Linked DNA regions of Kluyveromyces lactis. The protein of the gene in region 1 interacts with the protein of each later gene in a pairwise test. Links are inferred from orthologs where the notes say so. Each region holds a gene or a part of one and is shown on either strand. Other genes may lie near its edges.

What was found. The genes of interacting proteins can lie anywhere in the genome.
Region 2: the proteins of SLA1 (region 1) and ECM25 interact in binary tests that used the Saccharomyces cerevisiae proteins (3 or more experiments, as listed by UniProt). The link is inferred for Kluyveromyces lactis from reciprocal best matches to the Saccharomyces cerevisiae genes SLA1 and ECM25.

Annotation. Positions count from the first base shown.
Region 1 is NC_006037.1:445,243-452,025, forward strand, and holds the start of SLA1 (cytoskeletal protein-binding protein SLA1), read right to left. Parts: upstream 3,546-6,783; coding exon 1-3,545. Other genes in the region: 2-hydroxy-palmitic acid dioxygenase MPO1, read right to left, coding at 4,348-4,869; SCL1 (proteasome core particle subunit alpha 1), read left to right, coding at 5,156-5,896; LDB7 (Ldb7p), read right to left, coding at 6,238-6,684. UniProt on the Saccharomyces cerevisiae protein: Component of the PAN1 actin cytoskeleton-regulatory complex required for the internalization of endosomes during actin-coupled endocytosis. The complex links the site of endocytosis to the cell membrane-associated actin cytoskeleton.
Region 2 is NC_006039.1:298,987-304,412, reverse strand, and holds ECM25 (Ecm25p), read right to left. Parts: upstream 2,735-5,426; coding exon 992-2,734; downstream 1-991. Other genes in the region: Ras family guanine nucleotide exchange factor BUD5, read right to left, coding at 1-674; PRP21 (Prp21p), read right to left, coding at 3,851-5,008; RCY1 (Rcy1p), read left to right, coding at 5,085-5,426. UniProt on the Saccharomyces cerevisiae protein: May be involved in cell wall organization and biogenesis.

The sequences.
Region 1 (6,783 bases):
CTTTGTAAATTGATACCAAATGACGATTGTGGCTGGAATCCACCAGTCGTAGTTTGAGATAAACCAAATGAAGTTTGTGGTAGGTTGCTATTGAACGGTTGTTGAACATTAGCACCACCAGTTAATTGATTGCCGAAGGAGAGCTGAGATTGTTGAAGAAGAGCGCCGCCAGTAAGTTGATTTCCGAGGCTTGGTTGGTTTTGCAAATTGATACCACCTGTAAATTGATTACCAAACGTTGTCTGGGGTTGTATGTTCATTTGATTGCCGGTAAATAGATTCCCAGAATTGAAGTTTGGCTGGATGTTCGCTCCACCTGTGAATTGGTTCCCAAAGGTAGTAGCCGGCTGTATATTCGCACCTCCTGTGAATTGGTTTCCGAAAGTGGTAGCAGGTTGTAGATTAGCACCTCCAGTAAATTGGTTTCCAAAAGTGGTGGAAGGCAGCAAATTAGCACCTCCAGTTAATTGATTACCAAATGTGTTAGTTGATTGCAATGGCATTGCACCGGGCATTTGCGTGTTGAAGGAAGTAGGAGGTAAGGCACCACCAGTCCTTTGTAAAGGCATTGCGCCTCCTGTGATACTTGAACCAAAGGTTGTAGCGGGGAATGCTGTTTGGGGTTGTACACCAAACGTCGTTTGTGGCATCAACCCTCCAGTGTTCGCTGGTATCAAACCGTTCGCAGTCTTTTGAACTGGCAAGACAGTACCTGTTGGTTGCATACCAAACGTTGTTTGAGGTGCAATCATACCTCCAGTCCTTTGCAGAGGTACTAGCCCCCCAGTCGGTTGGAATGGCATTAAACCGCCTGTTGCTACTGGCATCATAATGAATCCCCCTGTAGTAATAGGGATTAGATTATTACCACCAGTTTTGAATGGATCTAATGGAACCAAAGAAGTACCCGTCTTATTTGCTGACAGAGGGGTTTCTTCCTTTTTATTCGAACCGTTAGTGGTGACAGATTCTAGATGCTTGACATCTGGAGCTGGTGTTTCTTTCTTCTTCGGCTCTAAAGGTTGCAAATCAAGCAAATCTTGAAGTGACCCAGAGAAATCCTGAGCCTTGTTGGAGCTGTCGCTGGCTTTAGCAGCAGGTCTAACAGTCCATGCATCATCATCTCTATTCGATGAATTACTATCTGGTAATAGATTATGAGATACGCCTGCAGATGCGGGAGCACCTGTATGGTTAACCTTCAAGGATCCATCGGCTTCAGTAAACAATCCAGTTGATGGAGAAGCCTCCTTTGTTCTGCCAAACTTGTTATCTAGATACTTCATTACTCTTAAAATGTCACCTTCACGTAGACCTAAGTTTCTTAATAAAGAAGGCTCGATATCTGGCAAGATTTCTTCACTAATTTGCTCTCTTTCGAAATTAATGGTGTAGCGTTGACAATTGTTGACATCAACACCAGCATTCAAGAAAAATTCGAACCAATCGTATTCGGGATTCTTGGAGCTCTTTGTGACAGGGTGCGTTTTGCTTGCTTCACTGCCTGGTCTTGGTGGTTTCACAGGTGGCAGTTCTTTGTCTTGTGCACTCCTCAGCTTTTCTCTTTCGCTTTCCAAGAGATCTCTAGCCCTCTTTAACTCTTTAAGTTCTTGCTCTCTTAATTGTCTATCACGTTCTCTTTCTTCAAGTTCCCGTTCACGCTCCTTAGCCTTTCTTCTTCTTTCACGTTCTGCGTTTACTGCACTACTGTCATTATTTGAACTCTTGGGTTTATGTTTGAATTTCTCCATAGACATACCCGTCAATCTTTCCACATACAAAATATCATCTTCGGACAATTTGTCTGCAGCAACAGCAATTTTCACACCGTTCACCTTATGTAAGTTAACCTTCCCATCGACACAGCCCAAAAACTGTGCTTCAACTTTGAAAGTACCACTTCTGTCTACCCAAATTCTAACCTTTTTAGGATCAGGGAACTCTTTATCATCAGTTTTCTTCTTCTTGGAGAAAAAGCTCGAAGTTTTAGACTTTTTCTTCGATACATCTTGATCAGCATCCTCTTTCCAGCTGCCAACTAAATTTTGAGTAAAGTTAGAAGTGTTAGATCTGGATCTGGTCTTAGACTTACTCCTAGAAGGGCTTTCATCAGAAGGCCTTGATGAGCCTGATCCGCGTGTTTCGACAAATTGTGCGGGGACAATGCCTCTTTTACCTGTTTCTACAGATTCACACATATACCAGTCTTTCGAAGTCCTGTCATCTAAGATATTAATGTAGTCGCCTTCTTTAACGGTGAGTTCATCAGGAGAGTTAGCGAAAAAGTCATATACAGCTTTAGCTCTTTTCTTGGTCATGGCAGGCCTTGAAGCAGCTTCAACTTCACGTAACCCAACTGCTGTCTGGGCACCTTTAATCTCACCCAAGACGCCCATGATCTCGTTAGCCAGATCGTTAGAGCCAGTATGCAATTCCAAGTTAATGTAAGGGTTTTTAAATTCAAGAAATAGATGCTTTTTTTCATTGTTATAGTTGATCAAATCTTTAACTGCCCATTCTTGATCCACTTTTGTCTTTGCAGAGAAGAAATGAATACGTTCAGCAGAAACAGTCAACGTAGCTTTACATTTCTTACGACCATCAACCTCACTAACAGACCAAACATGTTCAGCGGTCGAGGCTGAAGGTCTTCCATTTCTAGATGGCAGTGGAGGTTGATCTTCCTCATCGTCATCGAAATCGTAATCACGCTCATCATCTGAATAATCTCTAGTTATTTGGGAAGTTCTATTATTGTCTCTTGGGTCATCACGATAACTTGTTTGGTGTTCAGTATTAGAAGGTCTTTGAGGCATTGCTGGAGGTTCTGCTACTGCTGACTCACGCTGGACTTCTGTGGTTGCCGTATCGTTTCTCTTTGGAGGTGGAGGGAGCAGTGAAACATCAACTGGCATAGTTGTATGAGACGCAACGCCTGCATTTGATGCTGGTGGTGGTGTCGATGTAGATGGAGCTCCTGGAGCATCTGCTGTACTTGCAGCGCCAGCAGGGGTAGATCCGCTTCTGAATGATGGTTGAGAATTGACTCTGTCCAACCTCTGAGGTGGAGCTGGAAGTTCAGAAAGGGGTAGAACAGCTGGGGCTTGGTGCTTAGACTGTGTAACTCCTGCAGCGGGACCTCCAGCTTGCTGCGATTGTTTTTCCACGTAATTACCTGGCACAAACCCAACCTCTGAATTCTTGGTATTCTTCACCAAGAACCAATCTGCATCCCTATCGTCATACAATTGGAACGTATCGTTTTCATGGAATACCAATTCCTCATTGGCATTCTGAACTTGTTCATAATCGTAAAGCGCAACTACACTCCCAATCACTGGAGCCTCTTCAATATATGTCTTGGGGACCAAACCTACGGGTTCATCCTGATCAGATCCGATAACTCTCTTCTTAACGGTCCACCAATCATCAATGCTAGATTTTTCTAAAAGATACAATAGATCACCCTCTTTGACAGTTAGTTCCTCATCTGTTTGCGCAGAATAATCGTAAAGCGCCTGGTAAACACCCAAAAACACCGTCATTGTAGGTATTTAAATGCGTCAGGAGCCAAGTAAAAGGACCTATAAGCTTCCAGATTGTATACAAGGCCAAGAGGATCCCTATACAAATCGCCAATCAAATTTAATTATCCAAACTAAATTGAAATCAAAAACTAAAAGAATGCAGGAATACGAGACACTTCCTTTTTGTCGTCTCTTTTCGGTATTATGCTATTTCCTTTTATTTCTCCGTTTTGATTGGTTTTTTTTTTTCTCTTTTGCACAATTGCAATGCAACTCGCGCACTCTATCTAAACCTCAAGAGTTTGTCTGGCCTTTCTAACCCAATTCAAGCTAAAACTTGTTTATACGAATTACTTATATATGTATAGACATATATATATTTATATATGTTCTAAGTATATTGATAGACTTATTCAATTATTTTGGGCCTAATCTTTTCTCATTTTCTGATTCTCTCATTTTCACTCAGAAAAAGAACAAATGAAAATACCGACAGCACGCAGCACCGGTTCCTGGCAGTGTGGTACAAGAACCTGCAGTTTTCGAATTGTTTTTCTGTGATCCTTTGGTTACCCGGGGTTGTGTTTCGTACATGATGATACGGTGATCCCGGATCTGGAAATAAAAAGGGGTTCTTGCCCAGTTCTAGTCATGTGACTGCGAATCGCAGAGATCTGATAGAAAGAAGAAAAAAAAGAGATCATTTCTATATCACGTGATTGATGTTTCAATTCCATCATGGGTTCAAGTATCGTTATTGTCATCATCATAGAAGTCATAAATAGAGCATATATACTGTTTAGGCGAACGGAGGTTAAGTTTATTTACTCGCTCTCATACGATCTAGCTCTTTGTCAACACGAGCTTGTAGATTCTTCTTAAGTTCAGGCATGAACCCTAAAATAAATAGTAATTCGTAAAGGATGAAGTATGGCGCTAGCACAAGACTTTGCACCAAGTTATCGAGAAGCGCAGGTTTGCGCTTCTCGAAAACACCGTGGCCAATGAACTGGAAGATCCAACTGATCACAAATAATATCCAGGCAGTGGTCTGTGTCATCTTAATAGTCCCGTCGTTCAAAAATTTGCACGTCAGTGCCAATATCAACGACGCAAGGATTCCGGTACCTACTCGTAACAGTATATAGAACAACCCAAATGACAACGCTAACAAATGAGTCAAGGTATAGCCATTCCAGATCTTAACGTCGTTCAATATACGCATGGATGTAAAGAGAATCGTTGGGACAAAAATGCTATGAATTAACACATTCCCAGTATTGTTATGATAAGCTTTGTAGAACGCTAGTTGCGTCTCTAGATCTAGAAGACTGGGACTCATTCTGAGACTTGGTAGCGCAAAACCGTAACACGGATGCTTTGCTTGTGTTTTTTGATGTTGCTGTTTTTTTTCTTATTGATTGCATTATCTCAGTTGTCTTCCCCTTCCTTAATATTTCATTTCAATTTTAACTCTAATTTCAACTTTTAAATAATTTTGGTGGCAAACACATCAACGCACTACAGTTACCTTTACCAAGATATACGAAGAACCTGGCAACTCATTGATCTTCCTGTAACTACTGAATCTCAATCGTCAATTGGGAATCCCTATAACCACATATCCTATGTCTGCTGCAGGTTACGATCGTCACATTACTATTTTCTCTCCAGAAGGTCGTCTTTACCAAGTCGAGTATGCCTTCAAAGCGGCCAATCAACCTAATCTAAACTCAATAGCCATCAGGTCCAAGACCGCCTCTGTGGTAATTAGCCAGAAGAAAGTCCCAGATAAGCTTTTAGATCCTAAGACGGTTAGCTATATTTTCCCAGTGGCAAGACATATCGGGTTCTGTGCCACAGGACCGGTTCCAGATGCCAGAAATATTGCATTGAGATGTAAAGCCGAAGCTAGTGAGTTTCGTTATAAATATGGGTATGATATCCCATGCTCCGTACTAGCTAAAAGAATGGCCAATTTGTCGCAAATATACACACAAAGAGCTTACATGAGACCATTAGGGATTATTTTGACTTTTATTTCGTACGATGAGGAAACAGGACCTGCTATTTTCAAATGTGACCCTGCTGGTTACTATACGGGGTACAAGGCTACTGCCACTGGCCCAAAACAGCAGGAGTTGAACTCTGCTTTGGAGAAGCATTTCAAGAAGTTAAAGGACGATAAAATCGATGAGGAAAGTTGGGAAAAAACCGTTGAGTTCGGTATCACTACCCTAATTGACTCATTAGGAACAGATTTCAGCAAAAATGATCTAGAAGTTGGTGTAGCGATTAAGGATAAATTCTTTACGCTAACAGCTGATGAAATTGAGGAAAGATTGGTCTCTATTGCTGAACAAGATTAAGGTAGAAAATTTCTTTCCCCCTCATATAAATATATAATTCAAAACAATATCACTTATTGTAGTTCCAACATCAAATCTCATACAAGCTACTCTTGAATGTTGAGGTATTTGAAATCATTCAGCGACTAATGGTTCAATAAATGTTACAATTTTCAGCTATACATATAAAAGTATATATGTATATATAGGTATTTGGAGAATCTTCTTAAAAGAGTTCATAGTCTAAAATTCGTATGGCCACAAGCATCAGCTGTCAGTATCGTGTTCAGTTCACTTCCCTTGCCTATCAAATAACATCATCATGACAAGTCAGTTACCGCCTCTCTAAATCAGTATGGATATTAATTCCTATAGTGTTTTTGTTTGTGTGGGGCAGCTCCATATGGGTTACCACCACCCATTATGGGTAGATCAATGGCAGGTACCATGCTTACACGTTCTAAGGCCTTTCTTCCCTCTTCAAATTGCCTCTTCCTAAAGTACGCTGCAAATTCGTTGGCCGATAAAGACTCTAATTTCGATTTTGGCACGTATGGACCAAGCAATTGGTGGTCCCAATGATACTCTGCAAATGCAGCTGCTTCTGCCTGCTTAGGTGAGAGTGGACCTAAGTATTCATGAACTGGCACACGTCTTCCTTCAACTGTATCCTTAGGTTTCAACTCGTCTCTATCTTTCCTCTGTTGTATTTCCTCTTCCACTAGAAAGGCTAGTTGGTTTTTAGTGAAAGAAACTTGTTCTGCACCATCTAAAGTATCCAGTGTGCATATAGCATCGTAGTAACCCATGATTTTAATCGTCCTATTGTAGATGAATACTGATATGAATATATATCAATCTTGAATCTGTGATCTGCCTTTGACCTTTATTCATCATGTATTTTCAGC
Region 2 (5,426 bases), on another chromosome or scaffold:
TGTCTTGGATTGATACAGTGCTCCCGCCCCTCCGTTGAGGGAGGGGTAGTTGTTATAGTGTCGCCAGCCGATATCAGGGTACCATTATGGGCAAACTTTCCATAGGAGTCAAATGTAAACTCATGAGTGGTATCACCTTCTTCGGTGTCACTAACTGTTTGATTTACATCGTAGCTGAACTCTGGCGTGTGATTGGAGTGCGTCAAGCCTAGCCCCTTAATGGGATTAGGTGAGTTACTCAATTCTTCTTCAGGTGGCACTAATTCAAATTTGCTTGCCTTTGGGGTCGTAACATCTATGAATGTGGACTCCTTTACCACTGGGGTCACATCAACATCATGAAGTTGTTCTTTGCTTTTAGTGAATACTGTGAAAGGATGACTTTGTTGAAAGCTTAGATCATTCTGGAGTTGTGCTTCGCGGGAATTTGCAGTGAGAAAAGTGTCATTCGAAGTATAGGTGTTAGTGGACTGTATAGAAACATGTTTACTATCGTTCGTTAGTCTTTGGGCGATTGTGGAAATTCTAATTGCTTGAGAAGACGTCCTTTTTTGAGCTTTTATTATTGACATTCTCAGATCCAATGGTTGAGTAGGAGAAATATTTAGTTCAACTTCATTGTCCTCGGTTAAAAATGACTGTCGCCCAAACAATGGAGTTGTGTTATAGCTCATCTTGCCAACTTGTTTACTAGAAAAAAAAGAATTGGCAACAATAGTCGAAGAGATGATCAGCTATATGAAAACACTTGTATGTGTCCCTTTGAAGAGTCAATGTTTACTTAATTGCTGGCTTCACGAAAGGGTGTATATACAGTACTTTTAAGTAACAGATCAGGTTCTTTTCCTATTCGGTCATGTTAGCATGCCGATTCTGATTTTGGTGGCCTCGAACCTTGACATGGAAACCAAACTAACTTTGGCGTTTTTCGTCACTCACTATATACGTTTTGATGTTTTTTTAAAGAGAGTTCCCTATATGGAAATTGGTTCTATTTAAGATCACTAATGGCCTGTAGACCTTGTAGACGCTCCTCATAAAGAGCTGCTAGCTTGCTCACCTTGCTACCCTTAGATATGTCTGCGTAACCTTCATTAGAAAATCTGGTAGCATTCGTTGATTTTTGCTGTATCATCTTTTTCTTTTTCATTTCTTTATCAAATGATTGAATCTTTGCATTCTTTTCAATAGTCAATTGATCTAAAAGGTCGGTTAATCCCACAATTTCATCCACTCCATTTGTATCAGCATCAGTGATAATGTCCTTACCCAAATGTCTTGTCGGAGAGCGTAGTCTGTCCCTCTGCATACTGCCATTACTGTCAAAAGAGTTTGTAGAGTCGTTTCTGGAGTCATTGATGAACGGAGATGGAGGTTCCAACGTTGGCACTTCTGTTAAATTAATAACAGGGAGAGCATTTGGTTCTTGTAAAACATTGGACGATGAAGCTGATACGCCCAATTCTGTTGATGGAGGGGTATGTTTAACAGAGGAAGATCTTGGCCTAACAGCGGGCGTCGTTTCAGGTGGGGTTGGCGAAGTGATTGTGTATCTGGTTGGACTTGCTTTTCTGGGCTTGGGTAACTCAGGAGGAGTTATTGTCGTAGAAGATATTATTCTTGCCGGGAGAGCTGGAGCATTTTTCGAATCAAGTTCATCAATGACTAAATAGAACTGTGATAGTAGATTCCTAATGAAACGAGTACCAATCGACAATTTGTCGCTGCTCTTCATCGAAACTTTTTCTTTACATAAAGTTGGGGTCAAAGATTTACTCAATGTCTTCAGGTTATGCTTTGTTTCATCACTATTATCAAGGAAGTCAATGAAAAGAGGGAAAACTGCTCTTACCAAATCGTAATACCCATTATATTCTGTTATCGATTTGAAGGTTGTTTTCGTATACTCTAAGTCATCTGTCACTGGCAAGGGTATAAGGTCAAGGGGAATTAGTGGTTTGCTTTTATTTTTCAAAAAGTTTAAGAACACCGATCCCAGAGAATAGATATCCCATTGAGAGAGATCTACATAATGGTTTCTCTCTATCACATCCAGCAAAATGTTGATTTTTTTGTATGATCCGGGCTTTTGAAAAACGAGCTCAGATTTCGGACCTTCCACTTTTAGCCTCTTGAATATACGATCAAATATTAATTGTCTGTATTGTCTGTTCGCTATACTTCCAGGATTGACCGTATATTGATCTGGTATCGTTATTTTTTCATTAAATTGATAATCGTAGAGATAAACATTCAAGCTAATTCTTAGTAGAGTAATGTCTAAATGGTTTGCTAAAGCAGTTAATGAGGGTACGTGGATAACTGTATCTGTATTTGAATCTTTGTTGCTCAAATCTTTGATCCTCATTGCATTTTTCAATACTTGGAAAACAGTCTTTACAAAAAATGATTCATGAACCACTATCGTTTTCTGAATTAATGACCTCACATTTTTCGGTACCTTTGAATATAATTTGATGCCATAAACCCAGCTTATATCATTTGTGGTAAATCCCGAACTAAACACAACTAAGGAAAACGGTTCAGCAGGGAGTTTCGTCAATACTTTGTCCATTAATCCATCGATTAATAGCTCATAAACTTGCTTGTCATCAACCACATTGAAAGAGGGAAGATAAGTTGAGTCAAAGACATATATTGGATACTCAGATTCCGGATCTACTGAGTAGGATTTGTAAAAGATACTGTTAACATTGACATTGATTGGATCCATTCTTTAGGTTTATGACTACTGAATTGGTGGTTCTCCTATAATAGCTTATTGCAAATCTCCTAAATATGTCGAAAGATAGGGCCAAATTGTGAAAAAGGCGTCAAATAATAATCAATAATTGAACTGATATGCCTCATCAAGTGGCTATACCGGAACGTACATAATACTTGATAATTAGTCCGATGTCATTCGCTGAAAGAAACCTCGAAAATATCAAATATTTCATTACGATTTTATGACTTTTGGAAGTTGGTTTTTCAGATTTGACGATCAAATAGTAAAAAGGTAAACAAACATTAACTGCCGACAAACATCGACTCGAGGCAAGCTTAAAATTGGATAATTCATCTACTTAAACGGTGCGTTTAATGCTAAGTATCAAATACTTGGTAAATTGGGGCTGAGATCGTTGTATTTCTATGTGATTCATGATGTACCCAGGATGAGAGTGAACGCCTTCACTTATCGTTGTCAAGAATCTGGTTTAATATCGCAATAGGAAAAAAAATAAAGGGACTCCTCATAGGGGGCTCGAACCCCTGACATTTCGGTTCCTTGCAAGCGGTGCTTAAAAGCCGAACGCTCTACCAACTGAGCTAACAAGGACGAGTCTCTTCAGAATGCAGACGCATCCGAAATTCTGCTATATCGATGTAACGTTGTTTTTTAATCACTTTACTTTAAAATTCTTACTTACATAAAATGAATGTGGCTGGTATATTTATTATAAGCCTTGCACTAAATGTGCCAGTTGTACACTCCAAGTAGTTGGCAAATGTTATCTGGTAATTCTTAAGTGAATCTACGTTTTCTTTGGGTTCTGTGACAGATGTATATATATGTATGATAAGTTCGTCATGCTATAAATTGACACCTACAATAGTAGTTATCAGTAGATAATAACTTTGAAACCAAACTGGGTTACTGACGAATGTGTACGTTGCTTTATTTCATCATACGATAATGTTTTTGAATGTTTTTTTGTTATCGTATGTTATTTATTTAGTAACTCAGTTTGACCTTTGATTTTGAATTTGAAGTATGAAAGTGTAAATTATAATGAGACAAGAATAACGAAAATATAACAAATTAATACATACAGAGGCATACATACGTCTATATTTTCTGCCTTTTTACAGGGTTGGCGTTGTCTTGCGACACTATCCGCTTAATGTTTTCGTACACTTCTGATGTAGACAAATTAGTTAACTTATGTTTTGATTCATATTTGTCTCGTACTTCTTTGAACTCAGGATCGCTTAACAAGATTTTCAAGTGTGAATCAAAATCGGGTTCTGGGACCAATCTTCCTGTAATTGGACATTTGAGCATGTGTTCGCTGGTGTTGCTTAGTCCGCTTTTCTTTTTCAATCTAGTTTCACCCGCCTTTCTTATATTCATATTCTTTCTCTTTCTCTTTTGAGCTGCAGCACTGACATCTTCTGTTTTAAAAATGTCAACATCGTTGGTGAGCTTTGTTGCTTTCAATATATCGAAATTCAAGGCTTCTGGTAGCTGTTCTAAGTTTTCTTCTTCGCTAATAGTCACAGTTCCTACCAATTCAAATTTTTCCCATTCATAAGCCGAGAATCTTATTCTAGATGTTTTTATGTCTGCCTTCATCTTTTGTTTCAATTCATCCTGTAATTCCATATATTCTGCTTTCTGAAATGCCCTTCGGAGAATAGTTGATTGTAACGGCCCCTCCAATCGTACTATAGGCCCGTATTCCTCTGATAAAATCTGTTCGTATTGATTAATAAAATCAGTTAATACTGAGTTCAAAGAATGATCAAGCCGTAAAAATGCAAATCGAGGGTCTTCCGCATATCTTTCTCTTAGTTTCTCAAGGTAGTTAATATCATTATTGATAACACAAAAATGAGCCGCTGCTTTTATTAGTTCCAAGTCCTTTTGCCCTATATCATTTCGGTAAGTACTATAGACAAATGGATAGGGTTCACTCGGTTTACGATCCAGTTCATTCTTAGTAGACACCAGAGTATCCTGTCTTGATCTCTGATGCTCTAAAAGGAATGCATAATAGTCGTTGTACTTGTTGCCTGGTTGAGTGAATCCAATATCCTGGCTCTTTAACTTCTCTTCATATGTTGCACCGTTCCTTATAACATATTCAACCGTTTTCCATATGCTCCGCCTTTGTGATTCATCTGCCGGCACTTCTACCCCATCTGGAACAGACAGATAGTCAAAAGAGTCCATATTCAGACTTGTAGCTTGCGAAGTTTTACTGCCCTTGTCTGTCTCATTCATTTCATTTGTGCGTGCTTTACAATATTTCAAATGTTTCAATAGTTCTTATATTAGTTAGATAAATAATAATATTGATATGTTGAACAGAGAACAAATTGTGGATCTATCGAGGAAAACTAAAAGGAACATACAAATTAAGAGAACATTTCCAGAGGATGCTGACACATTGATGCCACTGGGTTTACGAGAGACATCATTATTAACTATGGATTCCGCTGTGACTTTTGCTGACATTCTTAAAGTGAGTAACATAGTCAAACAGATAGCCTTCAGTTTGAACACATCCGATTATTTATCATTCCAATGTCTCAACAGAAACTTGTACCATATACAGTTGAATGGAGTTACCGATAAAGATTATTGGTTAGATAAAATTAAGGGCATAGGCCTGATAGCGGAGGTTGGCTACCTGTTCGAC